Linked DNA regions of Stegostoma tigrinum. The protein of the gene in region 1 binds, or shares a complex with, the protein of each later gene. Links are inferred from orthologs where the notes say so. Each region holds a gene or a part of one and is shown in the gene's direction. Other genes may lie near its edges.

The links.
Region 2: rbm8a (region 1) and casc3 share a complex: the UniProt entries of both Homo sapiens proteins name them as parts of the mRNA splicing-dependent exon junction complex. The link is inferred for Stegostoma tigrinum from reciprocal best matches to the Homo sapiens genes RBM8A and CASC3.
Region 3: rbm8a (region 1) and upf3b share a complex: the UniProt entries of both Homo sapiens proteins name them as parts of the mRNA splicing-dependent exon junction complex. The link is inferred for Stegostoma tigrinum from reciprocal best matches to the Homo sapiens genes RBM8A and UPF3B.

The regions. Positions count from the first base shown.
Region 1 is NC_081400.1:7,591,339-7,602,225, reverse strand, and holds the start of rbm8a (RNA-binding protein 8A), read left to right. Parts: upstream 1-5,982; 5' UTR 5,983-6,050; coding exon 6,051-6,117; intron 6,118-9,701; coding exon 9,702-9,761; intron 9,762-10,887. Other genes in the region: lix1l (LIX1-like protein), read left to right, coding at 1-43, 377-619.
Region 2 is NC_081384.1:12,317,706-12,329,112, forward strand, and holds the start of casc3 (protein CASC3), read left to right. Parts: upstream 1-6,945; 5' UTR 6,946-6,968; coding exon 6,969-7,115; intron 7,116-11,407. UniProt on the Homo sapiens protein: Required for pre-mRNA splicing as component of the spliceosome. Core component of the splicing-dependent multiprotein exon junction complex (EJC) deposited at splice junctions on mRNAs.
Region 3 is NC_081368.1:16,063,057-16,073,915, reverse strand, and holds the start of upf3b (regulator of nonsense transcripts 3B), read left to right. Parts: upstream 1-5,690; 5' UTR 5,691-5,797; coding exon 5,798-5,908; intron 5,909-7,095; coding exon 7,096-7,202; intron 7,203-10,596; coding exon 10,597-10,703; intron 10,704-10,859. Other genes in the region: ndufa1 (NADH dehydrogenase [ubiquinone] 1 alpha subcomplex subunit 1), read right to left, coding at 1-6, 238-327, 5,372-5,473. UniProt on the Homo sapiens protein: Involved in nonsense-mediated decay (NMD) of mRNAs containing premature stop codons by associating with the nuclear exon junction complex (EJC) and serving as link between the EJC core and NMD machinery.

The DNA.
Region 1 (10,887 bases):
TGGCAGCCTGAAGGCAATGAGGGAACGGCAATGCTCTCGCCAGGTAAGTAATCCCTGCACCAGCACAGCCCTGGCAGTGCCAGAACATGCCTCATCCCTGTGTGTGTGTGTGTGTGTGTGTGTGTGTGTGCGCGCGCGCGCGCGTGGCATGCCCAGGTGAGGGGAAGGGGGTGTGTGTGTTTGGTGTGCCCAGGTGAGGGGAGGGGTGGGTGGTGTGTGTGCGTGCGTGCGTGGTGTGCCCAGGTGAGGGGCCTACAGGGATGTGTGGTCTTTCCAATTCAGGGCCTGGGGCAATGCCACCTGCCTGGTTGGGTGGGGGTCAGCCTCCCACCAGCAGTGTCACTGACCTGGTTGCCATCTCCCCTTCCTCCTGCAGGAGGTGCTGGCTCACTACTCCCACAGGGCCTTGGACGACGACATGCGCAGCCACATGGCGACAGAGTGGGTGAGCCGGGAGCACGTGATGCCTGGAATAATCAGCCGGGAGCTTGCCGTCGCAGAGCAGGAGCTGGAGGAGGCCCGGCTGGCAGGGAAAGAACTGCGCTTTTACAAAGAGAAGAAGGACATCCTGGTGCTGGCCATGGGACAACTGGGTCCGAAACATACCACCAACTGCTGAGGCTCCTCAGTGCCCCGCCTGGCCCAGCAGCCGGGCACCTGGACTGAGCTAATGGCCTGCCTCCTGGGGGTTTACTCTGCTTCATATTTAGTGGGCACTTGCAGCTGTCTCAACTGTATCCTTCAACTTCTCTCATTCTCTTCTCTTTTCCTGATCACGCCAGATTGTTCAGGCAGCTCTTTGGAGCTAAAAGGGGCACCGTGACTGCAATGCGTCTGGACTCGCCAGGCCTCACTGCCTCTGTCAGGCCAGGAAGGTAATTCCCAAATCATAGCAGGCCGTGAGGTTGCTGGTCTCCAGCCCTGTGTTTGTCACTTCCTATTTACTGCAATCTTTAATGTTTCCTTGCCTTTTCTAAGACTTCAATCATCAGCGTTGTGCTGAAAAGCCTGAAGTGAGTGAGTCTGAGTCTCTCTGCAGAGAGAGCATTACAACTGAGATGATTGAACCAGTCAGGGGTGGGTTTTGGGGACAGGGTGCCTGAGACCAGAGGACACGGTCTCTGAATGCAAGCAGGTCATTTAAGAGGTGTGGAAGAATTTCTTCACTCTGTGGGGCTGTGTTTGGAATTCTTATCCCCAGAGGGCTGAGGAGGTTCGACCTTTGAGCAGGTTCAAGCCAGAGATCCATAGCTTTCCAGGGATTAAAGATCTGGAGGCTTTATGGGCAGAGTGTGGAATAGCAGCATTGAGATAGAAGATCAGCCATGATCTTGTTGACTGGCAGAGCAGATTTGAGGGGTGAAATGACTTTCCTTGTTCCTGCATCACCCTGTCCACAGTGACCCACACGGACAAATATCACATACACTAAGCCCTTACACCCAGATGTAAGCAATTCTGACAATATCACTGGAGCTGTCAATCTGCACCATTTTTGCAGGCTATCCTGACATGCCTTATTCTCTGCTGGAATTTTGACAGGACTGACCTCGTCACCTCTCACTCTGATCCACTTATTACTTCTGACTTGGCTGAATTTATACACTACACAACTTGTACCGAAGCCAGCGTTTTAGATTAAAAAGCAGTATTATATGTTTGATACATGGTGACTGATAGCTCACTACTTTGCACCTAGCCATTTGATCAAATAAAATTTTTATTGGATTCCTGGGTGTCCTTTCTGTGTTGAAAGCTTGCTTCGCTGTTTGGGCCTGGCCCACTTCCGAGAGGAGCCTGCCCTTACAATCCAGCCTTCCAGGTCAGCCATTCCAGACGCACATGCATGAGTTTGTTTTACACACACACTCACATGCGTCTCCCTCAGCGACTCGCAGACACACACACACACACACACACACACCCGCATATTTTAGTCCCCCATGATTGTTGTAATAGTGCCTTCCTTACATACCTTGTCTATCTCCTTACTTATTTGCGTCCCCACATACTAACTACAGCCAGGAGCCTGAAAATATTTCCCATCAGGGTCTCTTTTCCTAAGTTCTACCCATACAGATTCTGTGCCTCCCAACTCTATACCACTTCTTCTGTACCAATTTAATTTAATTTAATTTCTTACTAACAAGGCAGCCTCACCCCTACTGCCCATCGGCTTGTCCTTTTGATAGGATGTGCATCCTTGGATATTTAGTTTGCACCCACGTCTCTGAGATACCCACAACATTCTACCTGTCATTTTCAATCTGCACTACAAACTCATGTAGCTTGTTTCATGTATTGTGTGCATTTTATGTACAATACTCTTAGTCCTACATTGACACCCTCACTGTACTTGTTCCCTTACCTGCTGAGCCTGAAGTTTGATTCCTGCCCATTCCACACTCTCCATCCTATTACTTGTTCTGGCAAGTTTAATAACCTCTGTTGAGCCCTCCCCTCTTTAAGATTATCCAAAATTTTCCATACAATTTAGTATCCCTCCCTCGCTCCCCCACCACCATACTTCAAGTGGAGCCCATCCCATTGAAACAGCTCCCTCCTTCCCAATACTGGTGCTAATGGCCCATGAATTCAATATTTCCCACACCAATCTTTCAGCCACGTGTTTAACTCTTTAATCTTGTCGACCCTGTGCCAATTAGCTCATGGCTCAGGTAGTCATCCAGAGATGATTGCCTTTTTGGTTCTGCTTTAATTTAGACCCTAGCTGCTCATGTTCCCTCAGCAGAAGCTCTTTCCACTTTCTGCTTGTATTGTTGGTACCGACGTGGACCACGACAACAGGATCCTTCCCCTCCTCTGCAGCCCAGATGAGAAATCCTGAATCTGGGCACCAGGCAGGTAACGGAGCCTTCAGGACTCTCGATCCTGGCCACAGAAAACCGTGTCTATTCCCCTGATGATACGTATCTGTGTTTAAAACTGAATTTCTCTTTTCTTGCCCTTCTTGAATGGCTTGCAGTACTGTAGTGCGAGTTTGCTCATCTTCCCTACAGCCCCCACTCTTGACATGCAGGGAGCAAGAATCTCAAACTTGTTGGACAAGCTCAACTGCTGAGGCTCCTTCAGCACAACCTCCCAGATCCCTTGACCTGTCTCACCCATTGCATACCCTTCTGTCCTTGAAAGAATTTGAGGTAGTTAATCTAGGGGGTGTGACTGCCTCCAGCATCCAGGTAAATCTTATCCCCCTCCCTGATGTGTAGCAGTGTTCATAGCTCAGACTCTAGCTCCATGAGTCTGAGCCTGAGTTCCTCAGAATGTGGTCATTACTAGCGACATTGAGATCCCCCAGCTTCCACAGCATGCAATTATAAAACATCACCTGGCCTGGCACCTTAGTTTTTAATTTGATTTTTCAAAAATATTTCATGCTGCCCTTTGGGTTTGTTGCCTGTAAAACTTCTATCTGAAAGTGATGTATAATAGTCAAATCAGTAGCTAGCACCAATCAATGATTTTACCTGTGATTTCACTCTTTTGTGCTGGCCCCCTGATCCTGGGCTTTAATTTATCCTGATTAAAATAAAACTTAAACCAAGAACCAACAAAAAGCAAGCAAACAGCATCTCAGCCAAGGATTGGCAGATGGAATTTAATCTAGATAAATGTAAGGTGTTGTATTATGGTAGGGGAAATCTAGGCAGGAGTTGTACACTTAATGATAAGGTCCTGGGGCATGTTGCTGAACAAAGAGACCTTGGAGTGCAGGTTCATAGCTCCTTGAAAGTGGAGTTGCAGGTGGACAGGGCGGTGAAGAAGCTGTTTGGCACACTTGCCTTTATGGGTCAGTGCGTTGAGTATAGGGAGTTGGGAGGGTCATGTTGCAGCTGTACAGGACATTGGTTAGGCCACTTTTGTCATACTGCATTCAATTCTCGTCTCCCTGCTGGAGGAAAGCTGTCAGATGTTAGGGTTCATAAAAGATTTACAAGAATGTTGCCAGGGTCGAGCTATGTGGAGAAGCTGTTTAGGCTGGGGCTATTTTCCCAGGGGGGGCTGGAGACGGAGGGATGATCTTAAAGAGGTTTATAAAATCATGAGGGGCATGGATAGGTTGAATACTCAAGGTCTTTCCACCAGGGTAGGGTGGTCCTAAACTAGAGAGACATAGGTTTAAGGTAAGAGGGGGGAAGATTTGAAAGGGACCTGCGGGGCAACATTTTCACACAGAGGGTGGTTGCGTAGACAGAACAAGCTGCCAGAGGAAGTGGTGGAGGCTGATACAATTACAACATTAAAAAGACATCTGGATGAGTAAAATAAATAGGAAGGATTTACTGAGATGTGGGCCAAGTGGTGGAAAATGGGATTAGATTAATTGAGGATATCTGATGGGCATCTGGCTGACTGGTTGGACTGAAGGGTCTGTTTCCACGCTGTATATCTCTGTGGCTCAACGTGAGACCCAGTACAGAACCCAAGGAGATGCCAGTCATGAGTCAATTGTCCGGGTCTGTTCTGTACAAATGAACTGGACCAACTAGCACCCCATTGGTCTACTCCTGTTCATTAGGGAGGGGGGGATTTTGAAGCTTGTGAAATGCACATTGATACCATTGGGCTGCAAGGTTCCGAAGCGGAATATGAATTTCTGTTCCTGCAACCTTCGGGTGGCATCATTATTGGCACTGCAGGAGGCCCAGGATGGACATGTTGTCTGAAGAGTGGGAAGGGGACTTGAAGTGGTTTGCGACTGGGAGGTGCAGCGATTTATTGCGAACCGAGCGTAGGTGTTCTGCAAAGTGGTCCCCAAGCCTCGTTTTGGTTGCCCTGATGTAGAGGAGGCCACAACGGGTACAGCGGATGCAGTACACCATATTAGCAGATGTACAGGTGAACATCTGCTTGATGTGGAAGGTCTTCTTGGGGCCTGGGATGGGGGTGAGGTGTGGGGGCAGGTGTAGCATTTGCCGCGGTGGCAGGGAAAAGTGCCAGGTGTGGTAGGGTTGGAGGGGAGTGTGGAGCAGACAAGGGAGTCGCGGAGAGAGCGGTCTCTCCGGAAGGCAGACAAGGGTGGGGATGGAAAAATGTCTTGGGTGGTGGGGTCGGATTGTAGATGGCGGAAGTGTCGGAGGATGATGCGTTGTATCCGGAGGTTGGTGGGGTGGGACATGAGGACGAGGGGTATTCTGTTTGATTGTTATTGCAGGGATGGGGTGTGAGGGATGAGTTGCAGGAAATGCGGGGGACACGATCGAGGGCATTCTCAACCACTGCGGGGGGGAGGTTACGGTCCTTGAAGAACGTGGACATCTGGGATGTGCAGGAGTGGAATGCCTCATTCCTGGGAGCAGATGCGGCGGAGGCAGAGGAATTGGGAATAGGGGATGGAATTTTTGCAGGAGGGTGGGTGGGAGGAGGTGTATTCTAGGTAGCTGTGGGAGTCGGTGGGCTTGAAATGGACATCAGTTTCTAGCTGGTTGCCTGAGATAGAGACTGAGAGGTCCAGGAATGTGCTGGAGATGGCCCAGGTGAACTGAAGGTTGGGCTGGAAGGTGTTGGTGAAGTGGATGAACTGTTTGAGCTCCTGTGGGGAGCAAGAGGCGGCGCCGACACAGTCATCAATGTAACGGAGGAAGAGGTGGGATTTGGGGCCTGTGTAGGTGCGGAAGAGGGACAGTTCCACGTAACCTACAAAGAGGCAGGCATAGCTGGGGCCCATGCGGGTGCCCATGGCCACCCCCTTAGTCTGTAGGAAGTGGGAGGAATCGAAAGAGAAGTTGTTGAGGGTGAGGAGAAGTTAAGCTAAGCGGATGAGGGTGTTAGTGGTGAGCCTGGCCCATGTGAGGAGTTGATACTTCACTGAGTTGAAGTGGAGCAGCATATTAGTGTGGACTAACCCATCCTCAACGCCATCTTGGGTCTGGACAAGGTCGTGGGAACCAAAGCCTCAACGCGCAGGCGTCGGCATCGGCGTCAACGCCATCGCGTCATGCACGCCTACCGGAAACAACGTCAGTGCCCCACCCCCATAGAACACCGCACCTCCCCGCCCCCTCCCCAGAATCCATTGCGGCGGCAAGATGGCGGACGTGTTGGATCTTCATGAGGCGGGAGGCGAGGACTTCGCCATGGACGATGAGGGTGACGGTAAATAAAACACCTTCCCGCTCCTCCGCAGTGTCACCGACAGCCAAAGACTCCGGATTCATACCGGCCCTGCCCCGCTCCCCCTTCCGCCTGAGTCCACCCCCCCACACTGTCCCAATGAGACTCCATCCCCCCCCACACTGTCCCAATGAGACTCCATCCCCCCCCCCACACTGTCCCAATGAGACTCCATCCCCCCCCCACACTGTCCCAATGAGACTCCATCCCCCCCCACACTGTCCCAATGAGACTCCATTCCCCCCCCACACTGTCCCAATGAGACTCCATCCCCCCCCCACACTGTCCCAATGAGACTCCATTCCCCCCCCACACTGTCCCAATGAGACTCCATCCCCCCCCCACACTGTCCCAATGAGACTCCATCCCCCCCCACACTGTCCCAATGAGACTCCATTCCCCCCCCACACTGTCCCAATGAGACTCCATTCCCCCCCCACACTGTCCCAATGAGACTCCATCCCCCCCCACACTGTCCCAATGAGACTCCATCCCCCCCTCAGACTGTCCCAATGAGACTTGATCTCCCTGACGTTGGATGCCTTCAAGGCAGAGATCGACAAATTCTTGGTGCCACAAGGAATCAAGGGCCACGGGGAGAGTGCAAGTACGTGGAGTTGAAATGCCCATCAGCCATGATTTAAATGGCTGATGGGCCGAATGGCCTTACTTCCACTCCTATGTCTTATGGTCTTATGGACCCTGTCCCAATGAGACTCCTTCTCCCCTCGCTCCCAATGAGACGCGATCTCTCTCCTCACGCTGTCCCAATGAGACTCGACCCTGTCCTAATGAGACTCGATCCCCTGACCCGGTCCTAATGAGACTCGATCTCCTGACCCTGTCCCAATGAGACTCGACCCCTCCCCACACTGCCCCAATGAGACTCGGTATCTCCCCTCGCAGTATCCCAATGAGACTTGATCCCCCTGACCCTGTCCCAATGAGACTCGATCTCTCCCCTCACAGTGTCCCAATGAGACTCGATCCCCCGACCCTGTCCCAATGAGACTCAATCTGTCCCCTCACATTTTCCCAGTGAGACTCGATTCCCCCACACACATGCGCGCACACTGCCCAGCAAGCCTCCATCTCCCTGACCCTCTCCCAATGAGACTCGATCCCCCGATCCTGTCCCAGTTAGGCTCAATCTCTTCCCCCCCCCACACTGTCCCAGTGAGACTCGATCCCTCCCACACTGACCCAGTGAGACTCGATCACCCCCCCCCACACTCTTATGCGCACACTGTCCCAATGAGACTCAGTCCCCCTGACCCTGTCCCATTGAGAGCCTTAATCCCTCCACACTACCCCAATGTGAATCAATCCTCTGACCCTGTGATAATGGGAACTGCAGATGCTGGAGAATCCAAGATAACAAAGTGTGGAGCTGGATGAACACAGAAGGCCAAGCAGCATCTCAGGAGCACAAAAGCTGATGTTTCGACGAAGGGTCGAGGCCCGAAACGTCAGCTTTTGTGCTCCTGAGATGCTGCTTGGCCTGCTGTGTTCATCCAGCTCCACACTTTGTTATCTTCAATCCTCTGACCCTCTTTGGTTGACACTTGATCCCCTAGACTCATCCCAAAGACAGTTGACCCCCCCAACACTGTCCAATGAGAGCCAATACCCCTGACCTTGTCCTTATGAGAATCTATCCCTCCCATACTCTCCCAATGAGACTCGATCCCCTCCACACTGTCCCAATGAGACTTGATCTTTCAACTGTATCCCAAAGAGCCGTTTCACCCCAACCCTAAAAGGGAATTGATGCACCTGACCCTCTGTCTATGAGAGTCAATTCACCCTGATCCTGTCCCAATGGGAATTAATTCCCGATTTTCTGAAAGAGAGTCCATCACGTGACCATGTCCCTATGGGAATCAATCCGCCCTGACCCTGTCCCAATGTGAGTTGATCCCCCGATACTGTTCCAATGAGATTTGATCATGAAGTAAATACAGTTTGATTCATCTGCTTTACCCCATTCTCTGCTGTGCTTTTGCCTGTCTTTCTATTTAACTCGCTTCCTCTAATTCCAGCCATCCTCGGCCATCATTTGTTTTGTTGCTAGTGCTTAGGATCCTCCCACCCTTCCTCCATTCTAGTTTAAAGCGTCCCAATAGTAACACGAGCAAATATCCCTTCTCCAAGTTTAGTTGGATTTTTGGAAAGCTTTCAATAAGATCCCGTATAAGAGATTAGCATGTAAAATTAAAGTGCCTGGAATTGGGGGCATGTACTGATATGAATGGAGAACTGAATGGCAGACAGCAAGCAAGGAGCAGGAATAATTGAGTTTTTTTTTCAAGTGGCAAGCAGTGATGTGTGATAAGGTTCGGTGCTTGGACTGCAGTTTTTCACAATATATATTAATGATTTGGGTAAAGGAATAAAATGTAACATCTGTAGCCTGCAGATGAGACAAAGCAAGTTGGGAAGGTGAACTGTGAGGAGGATGCGGAGATGCTTCAGTGTGATTAGGACAGCATTGAGTGAGTGGGAGATGCTTGAGCGATGAAATGTAATCGAGATAAATCTGAGGCTATGCACTCTGGCAGCAAAAACAGGGTGGGAGATAATGTATTCTCCGAATTGTGATAGATGACGAAGGGGGGAGGTGTGAGAAGAACTGGATGGCCTTTTGCACTCGTCGCTGAAAGTAAGCATTTCAGGAACAACAGGCAGCGAAAGAGGCAAATGGTGTGATGGCCTTCATAGCAAGAGGATTCAAGTACAGGAGGGATGTCTTGCTGCAGTTGTACATGGCCTTGGTGAAACTACATCTGGAGTATTGGGTGCAGTGTGGCCTCTGTATCTCAGGAAGGACTTCCTGGTTATGGAAGGAGTGCAGTGAAAGTTTACCTGACGGAATCCTGAGATGGCAAGACTGAGGGACCAGATCAGTTAGGACTGTATTCAGTTGGAGTTTAGAAGAAGGGAGGGTGGGTGATCTCATAGAAACCTCTAAAATTTTAACAGGACTAGACAGGATGCACGCAGGACGGATGCTTCCAGTGACCAGAGCAAGGGAATTCATATCCAGGGGGTGACAGTCTGAAGGAAGTAGGGTGGGACTGGGATGAGGAGAAATGTATTCACTCAGAGAGTGGGGAGCCTGTGGTAATCTTTACTAGAGGAAGCGGTCGGGGCTGGAACATTGAATGTTTTCAAGGAGTTCAATAGAGTTTGTGGAGATATTGAGGGTGAGAGAGAGAAAACAGGACTTAGATGGATGATCAGCCACGATCCTATAGAATGGCAGAGCAGGCTGGAAGGGGCCAAATGGCCTATTCCTGTGCTTATTTTCTGTGTTTCCGTGGTTTCCTTGTTGTTGGAGTTTGATGACGGCCCAGTCACGCAGCTCATTTTCCCCACCCTTACCATGTGTCCTCCCTTGAAACATCCTTTAATCAAGTGACAGCTTGACTTTGCTATTCTGACGCTCTATCCTTCCCAGCACATAACCTGAAGCCTTCCCGCGTATGTGCTTGACTCTCACCCAGCTGACTGCACCCCTTCGCTTTCTCCCACCCCTACACTGATACTGTTTGTCTATTTTACAGAAAGTATTCATAAGCTGAAGGAAAAGGCCAAGAAGCGAAAGGGACGAGGCTTTGGCTCTGGTGAGTAGCAGATCATCTTCCTGTGCTGACGTTTGAGTGGCTGTTGGTGGGGGCTGGGTCTGGGGCTGGACCTGTCCAGGAACATTGAGTGCATGTTATCACATTGTGAGTGGCACCTTATCAGGATGGACAGGCTTTGCAGCTTCAGGAGGTGCATTACTTGCTGCAGATATCCTAGGCTCTGGCATGTTTCTGGTGAAAGTTCCCAGGGTTGCAATCCAGGATTTGCAACTTACTGTTTAGAGTTAGTGGCGCTTGCTCAGCATTGATCCTCTGACAGTGCGGCACTCCCTCAGTGTTGACCCTCTGACAGTGCGGCACTCCCTCAGCGCTGACCCTCTGACAGTGCAGTGCTCCCTCAGCGCTGACCCTCTGACAGTGCAGTGCTCCCTCAGCGCTGACCCTCTGACAGTGCAGCACTCCCTCAGCGCTGACCTTCTGACAGTGCAGCGCTCCTTCAGCGCTGACCCTCGGACAGTGCGGCGCTCCTTCAGCGCTGACCCTCGGACAGTGCGGCGCTCCTTCAGCGCTGCCCCTCGGACAGTCCGGCGCTCCCTCAGCGTTTTGTCTATAACTATTTCCACTCTGAATGTTGCTTCTTAGGTGCTCAGTGTTCAGTGGTGAGGCCTCTGGAAAGCTGTTTACAGTCCATCAGTGAGTTTAAGGAGGAGATTGGACTAAGAGCTTGATTAATGATCTTAAATTGGTTTTTGATATAATTGTTTGACACTCTTAGGACAGTTCAGTTTTCCCCAATTATTCGATCACATCTAATGTTGGACAGTATGTTCTTAGTTTTGGAAGCACAAAGCAAATGGGACTAGTTTAGTTTAGGAAATGCAGTCGGCCTGGACAAGTTGGACAGAAGGGACTGTTTCTGTGCTGTATGACTCAAGAAGTTTACTGCTAGTGTGGTGCTCATTGTGAAAAGAAGCTGTGAGGAAGACACAGATGGGCTGGAAATGCCTAGATATGACAGGTATGGCAGTGGAAAAGGAACTTTGATGTGGGAAAATATGATGTATTAATTTGGAGAAAGAAGTATCAGCAGTCTTCTTTAAATAGTGAACAACTTGTAAATATTGCTTTCTCTGAGTGGTTTAGGTAATTCAGCATGAAAGACAAG
Region 2 (11,407 bases), on another chromosome or scaffold:
CACCAACCCAAGGAAACCTAAACAGATAAATAGAAAGCGGGACATAACACCAGCGCTTCGTCGGAGGCTCACTGATGATGTTACCTAGAATGGTGACGAAAACCAACCTTCCTGCTCAGCGAGCAAACTCACATCCAGAACCTCAACCTGAGCTACAAATCTTCTCAAAACTCGCTAGTCAATGTGGTGTTTTATAAATTTCTACTTTAGAAATAAAATCACTCTGACTCCAAACTAAAACAAACCAATTCTAAACAAGGCCTTACATGTAACATGCATTGTCTGACATAAAATGTCATCTCTTTACACCAACAAAACCTTTAGTTCTTTCAGGGCAGTGACTTGAAAGAAATTTGGGTATTTATATATACATATTAACCTTCTAACTGGTTAAAGATTTAACAGCATCTTAGGATTGTTTAATACATCCTCATCAGTTGTGTGATCCTTTGATGTTTTACTTATAAATTCTGTGTTCTCCATTCTCACTTCACCTGATGAAGGGGCTACACTCCAAAAGCTTGTGTTTTCAAATGTAACCTGTTGGACTATAACCTGGTGTCGTGTGATTTCTGACCTTGTCTACTTCCATCAAGAAGCTCCTCAAAATCTACCTCTATGAATGAGCTTTTGGTCATTGGCCCTCATTTTTTTGAGGATGTAATTAGTAGGGCAGAACTGTTCTGAAGATGTCATATTGAACTCAAAATGTGAGCTTTGTTTCTTACTCAAACGCTGTCAGACCTGCTGAGTTTCTCCAATCTTTTCCGTTTTTGTATTAAATACTGAGATATTATTGTCTGGCCTTGAATCCAGAATACGGGATAGGGAACAGTCCCCGGTCAAGGGGTCAATTGCATTGGCTAAGATGACGAGACATTTCTTCAGTCTGAGGCTTTGGAATTGTCTTCCCCAAAGGGATGTGGATGATCCATTAATGAGTATACTGAAGGCTGGGATGCACAGGTTTTACTGGTTGGCAAGATGTTATGAGTGATGTGCCACAGGGACCAGAGCTAGTACCTCTGTCTTTTAACGATTTACGTACGTAACTCAGATGAAGGTACTCAAAGGTATCATTGCTACATTTTTTGCTGACATAAGGATAGATAGGAAAGGAAGTTGTGAAGTGGAGATAAGGAAGCCACAAAGGGAGACAGAGTGGGCAAAGATCTAGCAAATGGAACAAAATGCAGTAAAATATGATATTGTCCATTTTGGCAGGAAGGAAAAAAGGCATGTGATCTAATTGGTGAGAGCTTACCAAGCTCTGAGATGCAGAAAAATCTGAATGGCCTACCTCATGAATTGCTAAAGGTTTGCATGTAGGTATAGCAAGTAATCAGGAACATTTATGGAATATTATGGTGCTTTTTTTTAGGGGAATTTAATTCAAAAGTAGGGAGGTTATGCTTCATTTGCTTCAAAGCATTGGTGAGATCAAATCTGGGATACAGTACAGTGCACAGTATTGGTCTCCTTATTTAAGAAAATATGTTGTGTGTGTTGGAAGAGGTTTGGGGAACATTTACTCGAAGGTCTAGTAAACTAATACGTGGAATGGGTGGGTTAGCTTGTAAGAAAAAAATGGATGGGGTAGGCTGGAATCCACTAAAGGTTTAGAAGAGTAAGAAGCAGCTTGACTGAAATATATAAGATTTGTACTTGACAGGAAGTTTCCTATTATGGAATAATTAAGAATTAGGGCCACATATTTACGGCAGGGATGATGAGTTTTTTTTTCCTCACAAATTTGAGAGTCTTTGGAACTCTCATCCTGAAAAGCCAGTGGAAGCTGAGTCTCTGAATATTTTTAAGGCAGATGTGAAACGATTTTTTGGTAAGCAAGGAGACAAGCAGTTATCATCAGTAGGAGAAATGTATAGTAAAAAGAAAATCAGCCATAACCTTGCAGAGCAAGCTTGAGAGGCTGTGTGGCCCTTTCCTGGTTCAAATTTTCTTGTTAGTGATCATATTTTTGGTTTCTCAGGGGAATCAAGGGACATGGGGAGCAGTTGGAGAACTGAAGTTTGAGGCAGAAGATCAGTTGTGATTGTATTGAATTGTGGAGCTTATTTAGTCTACTCTTGGCCTACTTTATACGTTCTTATCTCCTCATGTGTTCAGCATCACGTTTTTTTGGCACCCATGAAACATCTTTGTCTGCTTTATTATGTCAAAGAGGCTTTAGAAGTACAAATTACAATGCTACTGTGGAGCAACTTTGTCCATTTTGTTAAATCAAAGTCATTGCAAACACTGCATTAAACTCATGCTACATGTGTGCAGCTGCATGATGTATTTGCTGCAGTTGATTTCTTATGACTTTGCCACACAGAATAAGTTTTGGTCAATTAGATCTCCTAGTGATGTTCAACTGTCTGAAATTAACTTGCAGGTGGTTTCATGTTGGTGTCTCTGAAACTACTATTTACGACAGTGAAAGGGCTGGTTACAGCTCAAAGTGTGTTTGTGGTGTATATTGTTGATTCCTGTTATCATTGTGGCAGTAATAGAATTATTGACTTCAATGATGCATTTTCCTCTGTCAATAAATTGACTAAAATATATGAGTGGTAAAAGGCGAGGGGGTCTGTTCTGATAAACCGATTAACTGAATTAACCAAAATCCTTGTACTTTAAGTTTTCAAACACAAGTGACTTACTTCTTAGAATGTATTACATTTTCTATGTCTGTCACACACTCATTACCTGGGCTTCGTGCTTCCAGACCACGTACCAAGATTTTCACCACAAGATTGAAGTTCTCAAAATTCCAGAAACTGGAGATCCCTTTATAATAGTTAACATCTTACTGCTTGAGGGAAAGTCACTTTGACTTCGCTTTCTCTTGGTAAAGCTGTGGAAAATCAAAGATTGCTTCTACTAATATTTATTAATATTAAATGTTTATTCTCTTTTGTTTCCATTGTCACTCCAATACACAGCACTGGCAAAATGGTGATGGTTTTTAGTCAGTTAATCTTGTTGTAGCTGTTGGCATTCAGGTCTTTGAAGAAAAGTTTGTGGGTTCTCATCCTTTTCTGGGATTTGACCAAGCTCTCTCAGCTTCCATTCCAGTCAGCTCTGGTGCTACCACTAGGCCCAAAACGTCAGCTTTTGTGCTCCTGAGATGCTGCTTGGCCTGCTGAGTTCATCCAGCTCCACACTTTGTTATCCTGGTGCCACCACTGTCTGGTCATCCAGCAAAATTTGGGGAGTGTTGGGTGCAACAAAAATACCTTTTAACAAAATATTGGAACTGAAAGCTAGACAGAAACCCATGCAGCTGCCCAAAGTCAGAATAAATTTCCTGCTCTGTCAGTTTCTGACACAGGTACAATTAGATTATTATCAAATTGCCAGTGGATAATGTGCTTAAAAATTTTCCCAGTTAGTTACACTAACGTGTAGGTTAGGAGGCCAGGGTTCAGGTCCCATCTGCTCCATAGCTGTGAAATAACATGTCTGAACAAGTTGTTTAAATTAACTATAAAGGGACTGGAAGGGTTAAAATATGTTACAACTGATTTACATATTTGAACCCTTCCAGCCCCTTTATATTTCACAGCTACGGAGCAGATAGGACCTGAACCGAGGCCACCTAACCTACATTACCACTACTTCACCAGACTCTTACAATATTGTTTAACCAAACAACATTTGGATACCCAAAAAGCACAATCTGCCGCTACCTCCATGACAGACCACAACAAGAAGACACAACATGGCCAGGCACATTAGTCACCCTACGGTACTTCAGAGACATATTAGAGATGACCAAAAGACTACTCAGATCCTGAGGTATCAGTCCACAAACCAACAATCACCCTGTGACTGCTACTACCAAACATGAAGAATCCCATACCCACAACCAATAAAACTACTGTAATACACAAAATACCATGCAAGGACAGTGAGAAACATTACATCAGCCAAATTGGAAGAAAACTGACAATAAGGATACATGAACACCAACTAGTCACCAAGAGACAAAACCAATTCTCATTAGTCTCAATACACAGGGACAAGGAACGATACAAATTCAACTGGGACAACACATCCATACCAGCACAAACCACACAGAGACATGTCAGGGAATTCCTGGAGGCCTGGAATTCCAACCAGAACTCCATCAACAAACACTTTGAACTGGGTCCCATATACAAACCACTGAAAAACAGGTCCGGAAGCGATGCCAACAATCCCAGCAAACTAAGGCACATAAATAACAAGCGGGACAGAACACCAGTGCTTCACTGGAGGCACACTGATAATGTTAACGAACAGGGTGACAAAACATCTGCAATCAAAATTGCCGATTTGACAACCACACCTACAGTCTCATCCGCAACCCTAGCTACAAATCTTCTCAAAAACTTTAAATTGTCTGAATATGTTGATTAAAAATGACTAATACTGCTGTGTTACTTGATGGGGATTTTTCTTATTCTTAGAAGATGCTGCACCTTGAAACCTCCTGTGCATAGATACAAATGCCATTGTCAGTTGGTTTGTTAATAAGTATTTATCAGCTGCTGGCACAAATTTACCAGAAAATACGATTGTAGAAACTGTTCATCCATGTTTCCAACCCTTAGCCAAACCAAACCAAACCAAAATCTGAACAAAGATAACAAAGTGTGAAGCTGGATGAACACAGCAGGCCAAGCAGCATCTGAGGAGCACAAAAGCTGACATTTCGGGCCTTTCCACATCAAGCAGATGTTCACCTGCTCATCTGCCAATGTGGTATACTGCATCCGCTGTGGCCTCCTCTACATTGGGGAAACCAAGCAGAGGCTCGGGGACCGCTTTGCAGAACATCTACGCTCGGTTTGCAATAAACAACTGCACCTCCCATTCGCAAACCATTTCAAGTCCCCCTCCCATTCCTTAGACAACATGTCCATCCTGGGCCTCCTGCAGTGCCATAATGATGCCACCCGAAGTTTGCAGGAACTGCAACTCATATTCCACTTGGGAACCCTGCAGCCCAATGGTATCAATGGGGATTTCAACAGCTTCAAAATCTCCCTTCCCCCACTGCATCCCAAAGCCAGCCCAGCTCATCCCCACCTCCCTAACCTGTTCTTCCTCTCACTTATCCACTCCTCCCACCTCAAGCCGCACCTCCATTTCCTACCTACTAACCTCATCCTGCCCCCTTGGCCTGTCCGTCCTCCCCGGACTGACCTATCCCCTCCCTACATCCCCACCCACACTCTCGTGTCCACCTATCTTCTCCTCTATCCATCTTCGGTCCGCCTCCCCCTCTACCTATTTATTTCAGAACCCTCTCCCCATCCCCCTCTCTGATGAAGGGTCGAGGCCCAAACATCAGCTTTTGTGCTCCTAAGATGCTGATCAAAATCTGAACATCAATCTGGTTGGTTCTTCCATTTCATGGATAAGGTGGTCCTGAACTTGCTTACACTATCTTTAAAGCAATAATCTGTCTTATGAAATGTTGTTGGCAAATCTTAATTTCTACCTTACCTGGCCTGGCCTACGTGTGACTTCAGACAATAGCAATGTGGTTGACTCATAACTGCCCTCTGGTTAAGTAGGGACGGGCAATAAACAATAAACAATACCGCTACAATCTGCCAACTTCGCCAGTGACACCCTCATCCTGTGAATAGAAAAAAAATTGCAACTCACGATTCAAGAATTATGATTTTTAAAAATGGTTTTGCCCTTAGCAATGGTGATTAGAGTCTTCCATGGTCCTGTATATGCCTTCTTGTCCCTGGAGAAAGGTTAAACATGCCGGATGGGGTTCAAACACAGACTCCTGGTGTATTCCTTTTCAAATCTTGCCAGCCTAAAAAATATCCATTTCCCATTACTCAGTGTTTCTCAACCAATTTTGTGTCAACATTGTTATTGCCCAGATTTGGAAAAATTCTATCATATTTCTCTCCAAGAAGAAAAAGAAGTTCCACATTTTCCATGTTTGACTAAGTGTCTCCTCCCTGGAATCATATTTGTAAACCTCTTCTACGTTTACATCATTTGTAGAGCAAAGTGCTTAGAATTGTAAACAATACTCAGCTGCAGTCTTATTAATGACTTCCATTTCTCCACTGTAACCATTCTGTGAAAGATGGGACTACATGCTCAACATTCAGTGGATACCACAGAATGGAACTGTCTAATTGTACATAAGGTGTGGAGCTGGATGAACACAGCAGGCCAAGCAGCATCAGAGGGGCAGGAAAGCTGATGCTTCGAGTCTAGACCCTTTTTCTTGCTCCTCTGATGCTGCTTGGCCTGCTGTGTTCATCCAGCACTACACCTTGTTATCTCAGCTTCTCCAGCATCGGCAGTTCCTACTATCTCTGTCTAATTGTCTAAGGTTCTTCTAAACAATGGCATGGATTTTCTTTCATTTGGGTCCCATTTTAGAATCATGTAATCCCTAGAGTGCGGAAGCAGGCCATTCAGTCCATTGATTCCACACCGACCTAGCCCCCTACTCTATCCTGTAACTCTGCATTTCCAATAGTCAATCCACCTAGCCTGCACATCTTTGGACTGTGGGAGGAAACCCACGGGAACAATGTGCAAACTCCATTTAGACAGAAGGTGGATTCATGCTTTTTTTTCTGTTCAATGGCACTAGGGCAACTCAGCAAGTCCTTTTATGGAACCTTTAAAGGAAAAGTACATCAGCCCTTAGATAAGAGAATGAGGTCCACACTGCTAAAACTTTTTAGGGAGTCTAGAATTCCCAGGATGCTCTGGCCAGTGGGCGATAACAGACGTGCTGGCAGGGCATAATGGGAGTTGTAGTTTTTACGGTCTAACCACACCCAGTGTTGGAGGAACAAATTGCCCCGTCGAAGCTATGCTTAGGATTGCCGGGATATGTAGTCCTACTGACTTGACACTGGGACTTACTGCCTACAAACCCCGGTATGCATTGCGACAAGGGACCTTCCGGTTGCCTCCAAAAGGGGAAGATGGCGGACAGGCGTCGGCGACGCGCCTCTCAGGACACCGACGAAGAAGATGAGGATGTGCCCCGGTCGGAGGTGGAAGCAGGTCCTTCGGTCACCTGCATCCTGGATTTATCCGGGGTCCAGGCTCGTGAGGCCGAGTCTGAGTGTGTGAGTGTACTCTTAGTCTCTGTGCGGCAGGAAGAGAATAGGGCCTGGAACTGTGGAGCAAGCCTGGCCGCTGAGGAAGAGGGCTGCAGCCTGTCGTCACTCACTGGGCTTTGGGTCCACCCCGTGGTCAGTGACCGGGTTTAGGGCCAGCCGATGGTCAGTGATAACGGGAATTGCAGATGCTGGAGAATCCAAGATAATAAAGTGTGAAGCTGGATGAACACAGCAGGCCAAGCAGCATCTCAGGAGCACAAAAGCTGACGTTTCGGGCCTAGATCCTTCATCAGATCATGAAGTGCTTCACACTTTGTTAGCCTGTGGTCTGTGACCACTCACCGGACTTTGGGTCCAGCCCGTGGCTCGTGACCGGGCTTTGGGCCCAAGCCGCGGCCACGTTTGGCAAGTATGCTTAATTTAGTACAGTGGTGACTATGGTGGGCTTGTTTTTATAAGTTATTTTGTTGAAGTGTTTCTTTTTATAATGTTGGAAAGCTTCAGGATGTAAAAGTAATGGAGGTTAATATCGTCTCCTGATGAAGGGTCTAGGCCCGAAACGTCAGCTTCTGTGCTCCTAAGATGCTGCTTGGCCTGCTGTGATCATCCAGCTTCACACTTTGTTATCTTGGATTCTCCAGCATCTGCAGTTCCCAGTATCTCGGAGGTTAATATCGTCTCCTTATGAAATTTTTGTTTTGGTCAGACAAGTGTGGGAGCCCAGAGTTTTAATTTGGTGTATGATACTGTGTTTGGCCTTTTTTTTTATATTTGTTGTGTTATAAATTGTGCATTGCTGTTTTAAGATTGGATTGGCATTGCTGAAGCTTGTGTCTAGAGAACAATCAATCCAGATTTGGTGTATACCCATTTTTTCGTTTTACTTTGCTACATTGAAATGTATGTACCATAATATGCTACAGAATAGATTATTCTCGTGTTCGAAGTTTTGTTAGAACTATACATAGCCTTTTGCTCTGTAGAATGCTGATTTCTTAATGTTGGTTGTTCTGTTGGGTTTGTTTTTGAGTAAAGCTGATTCCACCTAGCTCATAACTTATCAGTTTAGAGGGGCAATGGTAGGGGAATGTCTGAGATAGTAAGAACTGCCAATGTTGGAGTCAGAGATAAAACAAGGTGGAGTTGGAAGAGCAGGAAAGTTGATGTTTTGGGTTGGGACCCTTCATTACAGAAGAAGGGTCCCGACCTGAAACACACACTTCCCTGATCCTCTGGCTGGCCTGCTGTGCTCTGCCAGCTCCACCCTGTTATCTGTAGTTGCTTTGACTCATGATTGCATGAGCTGATGTTTATATGGATGAATTTTGGAGAGCAACCAAATAAAAGATTTGGTGCCAGTAGAATTGTTACCGACACCTTAAAGTTACTTGTACGTGTGAGTTTGTAAAAGGATGTATTTTAGAAATATGCTAGCATGCTTTCAAGTTTATAAGATTTTTTAACTGAAGATTTCTGCTGATGCTGTGTGCAGATGTAAGACTTTAAAAATCAGTCTTGGGTCAGTTATTACACAGCTTTACAGAACTTGTGTATGGATCTATAGCTTACCTCTAGCTTTTGAAAGGCATTAATTTGCATAAATTGTACCCACTTAGTTGCTGGTTACTTGTGTGCTCTAATGAGGACTATGATTGCGATAGTGCAGGTTGGGGACACACATTTTCTGACTAGCTTTGTTTCAATTAAATACTTGAAGTTTGGCAAAATATTGAATAATATAAGGTGATAGAAATTTGAAAGTTGTCAACTGGAAGTAATCTTTTTACTTCAGTTGCTGATGGAGTTATGTATTTTCAGCATTTTGTCTATTTTAGCCCTTTACGTTTTAATTCCAGAGTAAAAATATTTCAGTTAATAAATTCAGAAGCATCAATCAATCAATCAATTTCAAAGGACATGAATGGCAAAAGAAATCCTATAAAAGTGTGATTACATGGGTAAGAGTTGTAAAGCATTTTGGTGCTGAACATATTGATGGATAATATGTAAGAAGTTAAAATCACTGTCACTAGTGAAGTTATTAAATAATTTGCCTAGTCCAAGAAAGTGAAATAAGGTGCAGTGACACTATCTCAAGTTACTAAATTAATGATTTGTTGCTGTTTGGTTGCCCAAATTTACATGGTCATAGTATCTCTCCTTTGCCCCTGCCACACCAGCTCCCATACTGATTATTTGAGTAGAAGTTTGGAGAGATGAGCACCTGTAGAAACAAACAACATCGATCCATGCTTCTAAAACTGGTAAATAGCACACTGACAGTGGGATTTCTTGCTTAAAAGCAGTTTGTTACGTGTTGCAGTGATTTGCTTTTCATGTAGTTTATTGCATCTGAAAAAATGTGTGAAGATGATAACTTGATTTGGACTTAGGACAAACCCAATTTAGAAGGTCATTCAAAAGTGCAAATTGTGACCAGATCTTTAGATACAGCATCAGAATTTTAAATGAAAAGACCCAACAAATAACCAGGCCCAATTAACTTAGCTGATCTACTTGGTAAGAAGACTGCAAAATCTACTATGAATGCATTATCTCTAATAATGTGTGATAAAAGCCTTCCTCCATTTTATAACATATTGACAGCGTCACGTTTGTTCACTTGGCAAACCTACTGCTTCTGCCCATCTTTGGTTGTCTGAAGGTTCCTGTGGACTTTGGCAAAGTTTGACTAAGAAGACTTCCATTGCTTTCCCACAAGTCTGAGTATAGTGTGCTGAGAAAATGCTGAGCTGGAAAACTGGAAAGCCGTTGGTCTGAGAACCAAACCATATCGCTGCTTCCAGTACCTCAAGGAGTGCTCAATATAAAGTGCACAAGATCAGAATTAATAGCTGTAACCACACAACGGTGGGAAATCGATTCATTAATTGAATTGTTGTCAATTGTGCTTGAAGGTGTTGAAACAAACTAGTATTTACTAGTTGATTTCTCTTTGGATGTAATTATGTTTTCAATCTCTAGCGATTTGGCAGACAGTTCCATTTTAGTTTTATGGATCAGAGGTTTTTGTAGGTGCCTCTCATAATACCAGCAGTTTGCTTTGGAATCATCGATGGACATCTTTGAACTCTGTGATTAAGCGATGTTTCACAATGGAACCTCGCTTCACAATATTTAATTTTTGCGGGCAGGAAAGAAATATTCACCGTTTCACTGGAAGTGCTTAGCCTGACTTTTCTAAAAACCATTTTGATGGAGCCCAGACACAATCAACAATGCAGCAAGTTGACAAAATCTCCCAGTGCTCCTAAGATGCTGCTTGGCCTGCTGTGTTCATCCAGCCCCACATTTTTTATCTTAAAATTTTGCTATTTGTGAGCTGTGAATTGATGTATATGGCTTTGAACCTCCTGCTCCAGCCAGTTTGTAAATATCAGTGAGCTTTTCCGTATTATGGCATGTAGGGTTAGAGGATGTAAACAGTGTGCTTTGAGATTTTGACTTTTTTTTCTTGAATCTGCTAAACCTCTTAGCATATGGGACTTAAACATTTGTTAAATATTTCTGTACATGCCAGGGATCCAAGATGAGTTGTTTTTTTTTTGAGAACCTGCAGATACAGATAATTTGGTTTTTTTAACTAATACAAAATGTTTTTTGTGTGTTAAAGTCTGTTACCAATGATAAAACAGAAGGTTCTTTAAAGAAAAATTTTCTGATGGTGAATATGGTAGGATAGAAAGTGTCTTCTCATGCAGCATCTATTTGGTGAGATAATGAATGTGCCCTGTTTTGGAGAGGTTTACTTGTACTTGGACAGCTTTTAGTTAATAACTTCTGAGCCTTTGCCTTCCATTGTCATTCGTGTGATAGTATTTTATTGTTATGAAAATATATTTGATATAGAAAGTTTCTGGCTGCTGGATTTCTACAGTGTATGTTTAAATCTGATTTAAAAACTTAAAATCATTCATTCCGTATAGTATTATTTATACTGGCTGAGTTTTAAATAAATTGCTATCTCCCAGGAATTGGAAATTGTAGTCCATTCCAGTTAACGTCAGTTTTTACCATTTCTCAAAACAGAGCTTGCATAATTTGTTTATATGTAATGCTTTAAAATGTGATGTGAATCAGTGTTCGAGATGTTTCATGTTGTGTAACGTTCTGTGAAGTATCAGATTTTCAGTTTTGACCCCAGAATTGAACTTGATGTACATCCCTGAAAGACAATAAGCACAGTAGTCGGTTCTGTTGTTTTCTGTTGCAGGGTACAAATTACTTGGAATCATTTCCTGAACATGTGAATTACAAAATTTGGAAGAATTTTTGAG
Region 3 (10,859 bases), on another chromosome or scaffold:
TAATCCCTGTTAGAAGAAAAAAAAAGTGTTAAATAGGACATAAGTTTTCCATAATTACACTGAAATATTATTTTAAATCTTCATCAACTTGGCATTTTTATTTTAAAAAACTGTAGAAACTTTTTTTTAAAATAAACAATAAAAGAACAGTTGCTTTTCCAGCAAATTGGATGTTCTTTTGGGAACAAAAACTATGGTTAGCATAAGGAAGTTCAGCATTTATGTTTAAGAACTCACTTTTGATTCGTAGTACGTGTTGGAACCAGATACTCTCCTGTCTCGATCCATTAGGGTCCAATGATAGGGTAAACGAGCAGTCCTCTTTTCCTAAGCATAAAGAATACATTAAGAGTATTTCTTTTTGCTTGAAAAATCAAGTAGAAGTAGGAATTCAATATTTTAACTGTTATATTCTTATAAAGGTACTTAAGCATAATGTTTAAATCAGTAACAAGCCTGAATGAATACTTCTATTCTTATTGCCAAGACCGGTACTACTACAGAAGCTCTCAAATGGATTTTGACACTGATTCCAACTGGGTGAATTTCAGCTACATCCATTATATAATCCTTAACTTGTAAGGCAAACAGACAAAAAAATACTTCATTAAAAGGAAACTCTTAACAAATCAGTATTTTAAAAAGCTTAAAAGTCCAGGCATGTGCTATGTTCATAAACAGATTTCTGTTTGATACTTCAAATAAATTCACAGCGGACATTAGATTACAAAATGTAAAGGAAAATCTGAAATTTATATTCTATTCCAGCCTGAGTTACAAATAAATAATTTACATTTGTATAGCTCCTTTAGTGTAGCAAACTGCTACAAGCTTTTCACACAAGCATCTTAGATACGGGTCCCAAAACTGCTCACAATATTCCAGACCCTTATACGGCTTCAGCGGTACATCTCTGTTCTTGAATTCTAGCTGTCTTAAACTGAATGCAAACATTGCATTTCCCTTCCTAACTGATTCTGCAATGTTAACTTTAAAAAAGAACCCTGAATTAGGACTCTCAAGTGCCATTGTGCTTCAGATTTCTGAAGTCTTTTCTCACACAGAAGATAGTTTACACCTTTATTCTTCCTACCAAAATGCAAAACGTCGGAATACAAAATGGGGAAATTCTATCTGCCACTTGCTTGCCCACTCTTGTCCAAGGCCTTCTGCAGTCTCACTGCTTCCTACTTGCCTCTGTTGAGGAAGCAGGGAGGCTTCATATTTGAGTGCATGACAAGGACTCTCCCTAATATGATCAGGTGAGCTAAGCATTAGTTCTCCTAGAAAAGGCTGGACCAATTTTCTTTTGAAAAAGTGTACAATCAAATTAAGTCTACGGTACCTGAAGATTTTTGCACAACTACTCAAAGGGGGCTGCTTATGTGCAGAAACCTCTTGGCTGCATTGCAGCCCCAAACTTTGGAGGACGATTTACCACAACACAAGGATGCACCGAAAGACACTTCATAAAAAGCATACTAAACTGCAAGACATCACCAAAATAATAAATTTCAAGTGGCCGTGGATCCAAGTTAGCTGAGTATTCTTCTGTGGACAGGTTTAAAACTGCAGAGATAATGGGAACTGCAGATGCTGGAGAATCCAAGATAAAATGTTGCAGAGACCTCAGTGCCAGCTCTGTTCAGGTACAAACAGTCCAACGTGAATGGCTGCCATCTGCCCCTCATTGTCCCACTTCTTTCCCAGAACCGTTAGGGGCATTTAAACAGTCCTTGGATAAGCATATGGATAAATGATGGGATAGTGTAGTGGGAGAGGCTTAGATTAGTTCACAGGCCGGCGCAACAGAGGGCCGAAGGGCCTGTTCTGCGTTGCATTGTTCTATGCTCTAATAACAAGGTGTAGAGCTGTATGAACACAGCAGGCCAGGCAGCAACAGAGGAGCAGGAAAGCTGACATTTCGGGTCTGGGCCCTTCAGAAATCTGGCAATTTCATCACACTCCTGACTTCTATCTTGTAGATGATCCTCTTCAACTGATGCCCATACAGAGGCATTTCTAACAGAGGTTCCTGACACACAGCAGAAACAGGACTCCAAACTTATTCAACACAGGTACTGAGGCAATTCCGCTGGTTATTGTGGCAAAATAACAGTAGTGAGGGAGTGCTGCACTGTCTGCCATGTCAACTTTAAGGTGAGGTAGAAAAGCGAGGAAGGTTTTTTTACCCTTCTCAGGATACAGACTGGAAAAATAGGAGGAGAGGGGCCTTCCAAGGGCTCATTCATTAACACTCCTTCAAAAGAACCCGCGACACTTTAAAAGAGCTACTCCAATTCAAATTGACGTTGGTCAACCAACCCCATGACATAAAAGTATGTTTGTAGGAACAGAAAAGAGAGGAGACTGTAAGACATAGGGCTAGGTGTGGGCCATCTGGCCCCTCCAGTCAGTCTTCCAGTGCAAAGAGTTGACCTCAACCGAGTGTTACAGACTGGCACATTCCAAGGCCCAGGACTACGTGGTGAGGGGTGCACTAAAGCTGGGGGCAGCTATTGCTGCCAAGGCACAACTGGAATAGATCACTTTCTGCCAAAGTACACAGAGGGTACACAAAGTACACCCCGCCCACGGCAGACGACCTCATTGCTCCACCCACAACCCCAGAGTAGACAGCCACACTGAGCCCTGCTGAATCTTCACCATCCCCGCAGACCTCCCACTGACTGAGCATGAATGGTCAGTCCTAAGCAAAAGGGGCTCACCTTTGTCCCCCTACAACCACACATCAACGAATACCAGTCACGTTTGGACACAGCAGTTTTTCGGCCACCTTCGCCTCCACGCTTACTTCTTCAACCAGGAGCCTAGCCCTCCCTCCACTGACCCCTTCACCCGCTTCCAACACAAGTCCTCCTCCTGGACACCACCCCCAGGCATCCTACCCTCCCTCGACCACTTCATCAACTGCTGTCGAGACATTAACCACCTCAACCTCTCCACCCCTCTCACCCACTCCAACCTCTCCCCCGCAGAACGGGCAGCCCTCCGCTCCAACCCCAACCTCACCATCAAACCCCCAGACAAGGGTGGCGCAGTGGTAGTATGGCGCACTGACCTCTACATCGCCGAGGCCAAACACCAACTCTCCGACACATCCTCCTACCGCCCCCTTGATCATGACCCCACCTCCGAGCACCAAACCATCATCTCCAACACCATCCATGACCTCATCACCTCAGGGGACCTCCCACCCACAGCCTCCAACCTCATTGTTCCCCAATCCCGCATGGCCCATTTCTATCTCCTTGCCAAAATCCACAAACCTGCCTGCCCTGGTCGACCCATTGTCTCAGCCTGTTCCTGCCCCACCGAACTCATCTCCACTTATCTGAACTCCATTTTCTCCCCTTTGGTCCAGGAACTCCCCACCTCCGTCTGTGACACCACCCACGCCCTCCACCTCCTCCAGGACTTCCAATTCCCTGGCCCCCAGCACCTCATTTTCACCATGGACGTCCAGTCCCTATACGCCTGTATTCCTCATGCAGATGGCTTCAAGGCCCTCCGCTTCTTCCTGTCCCGCAGGCCCGACCAGTCCCCCTCCACCGACACCCTCATCTGCCTAGCCGAACTCGTCCTCACCCTCAATAACTTCTCTTTCGATTCCTCCCACTTCCTACAGACAAAGGGGGTGGCCATGGGCACCCGCATGGGCCCCAGCTATGCCTGCCTCTTTGTAGGTTACGTGGAACAGCCCCTCTTCTGCACCTACACAGGCCCCAAACCCCACCTCTTCCTCCGTTACATTGATGACTGTCTCGGTGCCGCCTCTTGCTCCCCAGAGGAACTCAAACAGTTCATCCACTTCACCAACACCTTCCACCCCAACCTCAAGTTCACCTGGGCCATCTCCAACACATCCCTCACCTTCCTGGGCCTCTCAGTCTCCATCTCAGGCAACCAGCTATTAACTGATGTCCATTTCAAGCCCACCGACTCCCACAGCTACCTAGAACACACCTCCTCCCACCCACCCTCCTGCAAAAATTCCATCCCCTATTCCTAATTCCTCCGCCTCCGCCGCATGTGCTCACAGGATGAGGCATTCCACTCCCGCACATCCCAGATGTCCAAGTTCAAGGACCGCAACTTCCCCCCCCCCGCAGTGGTCGAGAACACCCTTGACCGCGTCTCCCGCTATAAACAACTGCACCTCCCAGTTGCGAACCATTTTAACTCCCCCTCCCATTCTTCAGACAACATGTCTATCATAGGCCTCCTGCAGTGCCACAAGGATGCCACCCGAAGGTTGCAGGAACAGCAACTCATATTCCGCTTGGGAACCCTGCAGCCCAATGGTATCAATGTGAACTTCACCAGCTTCAAAATCTCCCCTTCCCCCACCACATCCCAAAACCAGCCCAGCTCATCCCCTCCCCCCACTGCATCCCAAAACCAGCCCAGCCTGTCTCCACTTCCCTACTCTGTTCTTCCTCTCACCCATCCCTTCCTCCCAACTCAAGCCACACCTCAATTTCCTACCTACTAACCTCATCCCACCTCCTTGACCTGTCCGTCTTCCCTGGGCTGACCTATCCCCTCCCTACCTATACTCTCCTCTCCACCTATCTTCTTTTCTCTCCATCTTCAGTCCACCTTCCCCTCTCTCCCTATTTATTCCAGTTCCCTCTCCCCATCCCCCTCTCTGATGAAGGGTCTAGGCCCGAAACGTCAGCTTTTGTGCTCCTGAGATGCTGCTTGGCCTGCTGTGTTCATCCAGCTCCACACTTTGTTATCTTGGATTCTCCAGCATCCGCAGTTCCCATTATCTCTGGTCCATTCATTTATCCATTTCTCACTTTTCTGTCTCACCTTAAAGTTGACACTGCAAACAGCACAGCACACTTTCACCACTGTTATCCCTCAGATTTAACCAGCAACAACTGCCTCAGTATCTGTGGTGGATAAGTCAGGAGTCCAATTTCTGCTATGTATCTCAGTGAGCTCTGTTAGAAATACCTCTAGTACCTCAATACATATCAATGTAACCCTCCTGAAGAAAGAAATGCCTTGTTTTATTTTTGCAAATGCAGAGAATGCCAAATTTAGATGTTTGTACGTTATTCATGTGCAAAGCCAGTATAGAAACGCTTACAGTAGCTGCTCCTGTTCCTCTGACGCTGCCTGGCCTGCTGTGCTCCTCCAGCTCCGCACTGTTTTGTCAGTGACTATGTATACTCTTTTTTCCTCAATGAATAAAATACATTAACGGCTGATCCGACATTCCAAACGTGCAATTTCCCAAACTTTCCCATCACCTTTCAAGATCGAGAATCTGACTCAGCCCCCACAGGCCCCTCAGCGAAAGGGCCAACCGACAACGGCTACAAGCTCCGCTGCTTACCTTACCGCCGTTCGTCCACCTGTGAACGTAGATGGTGGCGAGGCCAGGCACCGTCAGGCAGCCGGCCATGATGACAAGCCCGGGCAGGATCTCATACCACATCGCAACTCGCTCACAGCGACCTTCGCCAAGACCCCACTGCACACACAAACCCCAAGGGACTTCGTTTTCCCCACCACTTCCTCTCGCGATAACTGCCTCTCCTAGGAGAGGGCGGGGAATCTTGCGCAGCAAGCCCCGTGGCGATTGGTCCGTGGTGACCACGCCTCAAAAACCGTTTCCCCCTCCGGCGCGGACCAATCAGAAGAGGGGGCGGAGCTTGAGTGACGTGACAGGGAGCCAAAGGCTAGCCGGCTCAGTTGGAGTTGGCTCTGTCAGCGGGGTAGGCCTGTTTATTTTCGAAGCCGCAGCTTGCCTCCTCAAGGCATGAAGGAAGATAAGGAGAATACCAAACCCAGGGAGAAGAAAGTGGAGGTCAAATATGAGGAAAGGGCAGAGAAACCCGAAAAGAAGGAGAAAAAAGAGGTCTTGACCAAGGTTTGTGAAGCAACAGGCCTCAGCCAGGATACAGTCCAGGAGGCAATGTTTCCACTTAAATAAGACAAAGAACTGCAGCCCTCATCTGAGGGAGGATCACTGGACTCGAAAGATTAACTTTTTTTCTCCACAGATGGTGCCAGACCTGCTGAGTTTCTCCAGAAATTTCTGGTTTTTGGCTCCGCCTAAATGGCTTCCTTCGTAATCCGTGTTCACCATCATGGCTAAAATCTCACTGCTTCAGGTTCTGAGGAAGGGTCACCGGACCTGAAATGTTAACTCTTGTTTTCTCCTCCACAGATGCTGCCAGGCCTGCTGAGCTTTTTCAGCAACTTTGTTTTTGTTCCTGATTTACAGCATCCGCAGTTCTTTTGGTTTTTACCTCACTACTTGAAGCTGTCAGAGTGTTTGTGCAATGCTCCGAGGCAGTTAGCCTATTTTCTGGATAAAAACCGAAAGAACTGCGGATGCTGTAAATCAGGAACAAGAACAGAAGTTGCTGGAAAAGCTCAGCAGGTCTGGCAGCATCTATGAAGAAAAAAAAAATCAGAGTTAGTGTTTCGGGTCTGGTGATCCTTCCTCAGATCTAGGCTGCCCTAGGCTGCTTTCCGGTTTCCCCTCACAATCCGTTTTCTGTACGTAATTTTAATGAATGATTATTCTACCTCTTTGTGAGAAGCACAGTTACTTGTGACGACCACGCTAATCTCGGAGAATTGCATATTGTATGAAAATGAATTTGTGGCTGAGTCATTCCTGGATCTTGTTGCTGCCTCTCAATTACTGATTAGCTCTCCAAATACTTCAGATTTGTCTTAAAACAAAATGCTGTAAGTACTCGAGGTCAAGCTGCATCTGTGGAGAAAAACAGGTTTAACATTTTGCAATGTTTAAATGATCCTGATGCTAAAGTAGCTTCTTTATTGATGAATGTTTTGTCATTAGGATGTTTCTTCCATAATACTTTATTGATTGGGCTCTCATCACAGCAGGGTCGTCACCTTTGTTGCTAAATTGTAGTAATGGGATTGTTTGCTCTTGTTTTTGTAATTTGGATGTTGAGAGCTTAAGTAGCTCACTAGGTACCTAATCTGTGTGATCTGTTTCTCAATTTAAATTGCTTTGACATTTGACTTTTTTTTGGTAAAGAAGTAGCTGATAGATATTGAACTGCGTTTATCCATCAGGTGGTGATCCGTCGTTTGCCTCCAAGTCTAACAAAAGAGCAATTAGAAGAGCAACTTGCCCCTTTGCCTGAGCATGATTATTTCGAGTTTTTCTCTACCAATTCAAGGTAGGTTGTTACTATGACAGAATTTTATCAAATTTCTTTTAAATCACAAGGGCCACATTATCAAGGTGCCTTAAAAGCCAGAGGAGCTGCTATCTATTTTCTTTTTAACTCTTATTTATTATGAGGGCCTAAACCACCTCTGATATTAATCAGATATAGATGCTGTGGTGATATATTCATGGTCATGTCATCTGATGAAATCTTAGAACTGAGAAATGTTAGTTCAATTTGTGCGTATATAGCAAAACAATTTTAAAGTCACATAGATTGTAAGTCTGACGGACCATGGAATAGTTTTCAATATGCGGTCAATAAAGCTGTCAACTCAACTCCAAAGTCAGATCCCAGTTGTCTGTGGCATGTGAAAAGCTTTCAGATTGCTGTCATTTACAACCTATACTTTGTACCGTGCATATAGTTATTTGGGCTTTGCAGTGCACTATATTACGGCCATGTAATAAAGTGCTGCTTCACCAAATCTAACATTTAATGTGGTCCTGAGGGATGTGGATGAGCAAAAGCATAGTTCTCTTCTGGCAGACTGTCTACAGTTTTCACACCAGCTGCACTGGGGCAGTAAACGAAAGCAAACTATTGCATTGCTAGCAGTCTGAAACAAAAGAAGAAATTGCTGGAAATACTTAGACTGAGTAGCATCAGGCAGAAACAGATTAACGTTTCATGTCAAGGAATTTCTTCAGAACTGAAGTTTCTCTATCCAAAGATTCTGCAGTGTTTTGTATTTAATTTCAGTATAGATGCTGTTGTGTGCACTTGCCTCTATGACTACAGGTCTCAGAACCATACAGCAATGTTACAGCAGTTGTAAATAAACACAAATATGTATAATATGTGATTAAATTGATTTATTTTAGAGTTCAGCTTTGCTCAAAGATTAGTATACCACAGTGCTAAGATTCAATAATGTCTCAAGTCAGTCACTGCACCTGTTTCTAACTGAGCATAACCATTGTTTGACTCATGCTGCAGGAAGCATTTCTGTACTGCTTGCTTGCATCAGTGCTTTGATATTAAGTGTAAAGCCTTGGCTACAAACAGCTTGATTTTTGGACAGTGATTTCAGGGCATATAATCTTTAGTAAATTAGTCAAGTGGATTTTTGTTGTAAATCCTTCATGAGTCATTGTGTTTGATCTTTTGGGGAAGTTCCATCTGGTGTTTTGCTTTTGTTTATTGATTTTAAACTACTGTATCAACAGTAATTTCAAAAATACATTTCAACCTTTTGAGTTAAATGCAAAAGTTTTATTTGAGTTTTTGTCTAGTATTCAGGCACTGGTTCAAATTCTGAACAAAATAAACGTGTAGCCTACAAAAGGGGGCAGGACCAAGTTGAAGAAAGATGTAGAAATTCCAAGGGCAAAGTTAGAGGCAACGGAACATTAAGTGATGAGGGTGAGGACAAGTAAAATGAGACAGGAAGAAGCAGAGAGTTTACAATAGTAATTGTAAGTTAGCGAGTAAGTTCCATGCAAGGAATCTATAATAGCACAAGCTAAACAGACATGCCAGGGAATTCCTGGAGGCCTGGCATTCCAATCGGAACTCCATCAACAAACACATTGAACTGGACCAGATATGCAAACCACTGAAATATGGAATCGGAAGTGATGCCAACCACCCCAGCAAACCGAGGCGTATGAATAACAAGCGAGATGGAACACCACTGCTTCACCGGAGGCGAACTACAATGTTACCTATCAGGGTGACAAAACATCTGCAATCAAACACAACGACTTGATGAGCAGGTCTACAACCTCATCCACAACCAGAGCTACAAATTTTCTCAAAAACTTTGAATTCCGTTATAAAATTGAAATGACATACTTCAGTCTCAAACAAGAATCTTGTTCTTAAACAAAGCAATTTACATGGATTTGAGAAGAGAGCTGGGTAAGGTTGACTGGGTCAATAAGCAATAAGATATAGTGATATATAAATAGTGGGCACCAAAGAAACAATTCAAAATATTAAACAAAAATACATTCAGTTGAAAAACTCAGCAATAAAAATGATCCAAATTATTGAGGAAATTAAGGATAGTATTAGAGTTTGTATTTTTTTGGAAAGAGATTTATAAAGCTGCTAAATGTTGCAGGAGGTAAAACCAGCAGAAGCCTATGTTGAAAACCATACCAACAAAATGTTGATCAAACATATATATATATAACTTTTTTTTTAAAGTAACCAAGTAGACATTAGAAATTATTATAGGGAGTGAGGAAATGGCAGAAACATTAAACAGCTATTTTGTCCATTTTCACGAGGTCACAAGACCTATGCAGCACTTGTCTACTTACAGCAATGAGTGAGGGAATTAAAATCTCCAGATAAAGTATTGGTGAATTTGGGAGACTAAAATTTGATAATTCCCAAGATCTATCGTGATGAGAGAGGTCATCATAATGAGAGAGCTGCGGCGATGGTAGATGCATTGGCAATGATTTTACAAAAATTCTGGAACTGTCTCAGCAAATTGGAAATTAGCAAATGTGACACTGCTATTCAAGAAGGGAGCAAGAGAGAAAGACAGAAACTACAGGGCAATTAGCCTTATATTGGTCATCAGGGTAGTGCTGGATAGTAAGATTAAATAAGCTTTAACAATGCACTTTGAAAATCGTAGAAAGATCAAAGTCAGTGTAGCCTTACAAAAGTGAAATTGTGTTTGATAAATTTATTAAAGTTTTCTTTGGGCAAAATAGACAAGTTATTTGGTCTCCTTTTTTATTTGAAGGATTAGTTTGCATCGGAGAGAACACAGTGAAGGTTCACTGGTTTGTCCCTGGGATGAGAGGGTTAAATTGTTTTAAGCTACGTTAAGAGGCTAATAGTCTCTGGGGTTTAGGAGAATGAGATGTTGTCACATTGAAACATAAAAGATTCTGAGGGAGTTTGACAAGGTGAACACTAATAGATTTTTTTTCTGTTGATCAGGAAACCAGAACAAGAAGTGTTTTGCAATAAGGAGTCAATTGTGTTTGACTCGGATGAGGTGAAATGAATTCACCAAAAAAAGTGAATCTCTTTAGAAGTATTATCCCAGAGGATTGTGGATGTTCTTTCATTGATTAATGCTTAATGCTTTTTCAGTCTGATTTGTGGCCTTTCAGGAAATCGAAGGAATGGCCAGGGACGTGGAGTTGAAACCAAAGAGATCAGTTGTAATTGTACTGACTAGTGGTGCAAACCCAATAGGATATGTGACTCACTGCAGCTCATGTGTTTTGTGTAAATTCTGATCAGAACCTAATGAGAGAAACTTCGTGATTGTATATGTTGCTGCAAATTTTATGTGGTGTTCCCACAATAATGTCTCATATTTACGTCTTCAATTTAATTCAAGCCTAAAATCTAAATTATTTTTCCATAGTTTGTTTCCGCACATCTTTTCAAGAGCGTACATCAACTTTAAAAATCAAGATGACATTGTCCTCTTCAGGGATCAGTTTGATGGCTATGTTTTCATTGATAGCAAAGGTAAGGCAGTTTTGACTCTGCATGTTAGTGTATACCAACACTGTCTTGTTTTCTACATTTTGACATCTCATAAATCCTTTGCCTTCGAAAATGCATTGTTAGGAATCGTGTGCGTTTGTCTATTCTAAGTATTGCCTTTCATATTAATAGAAGATC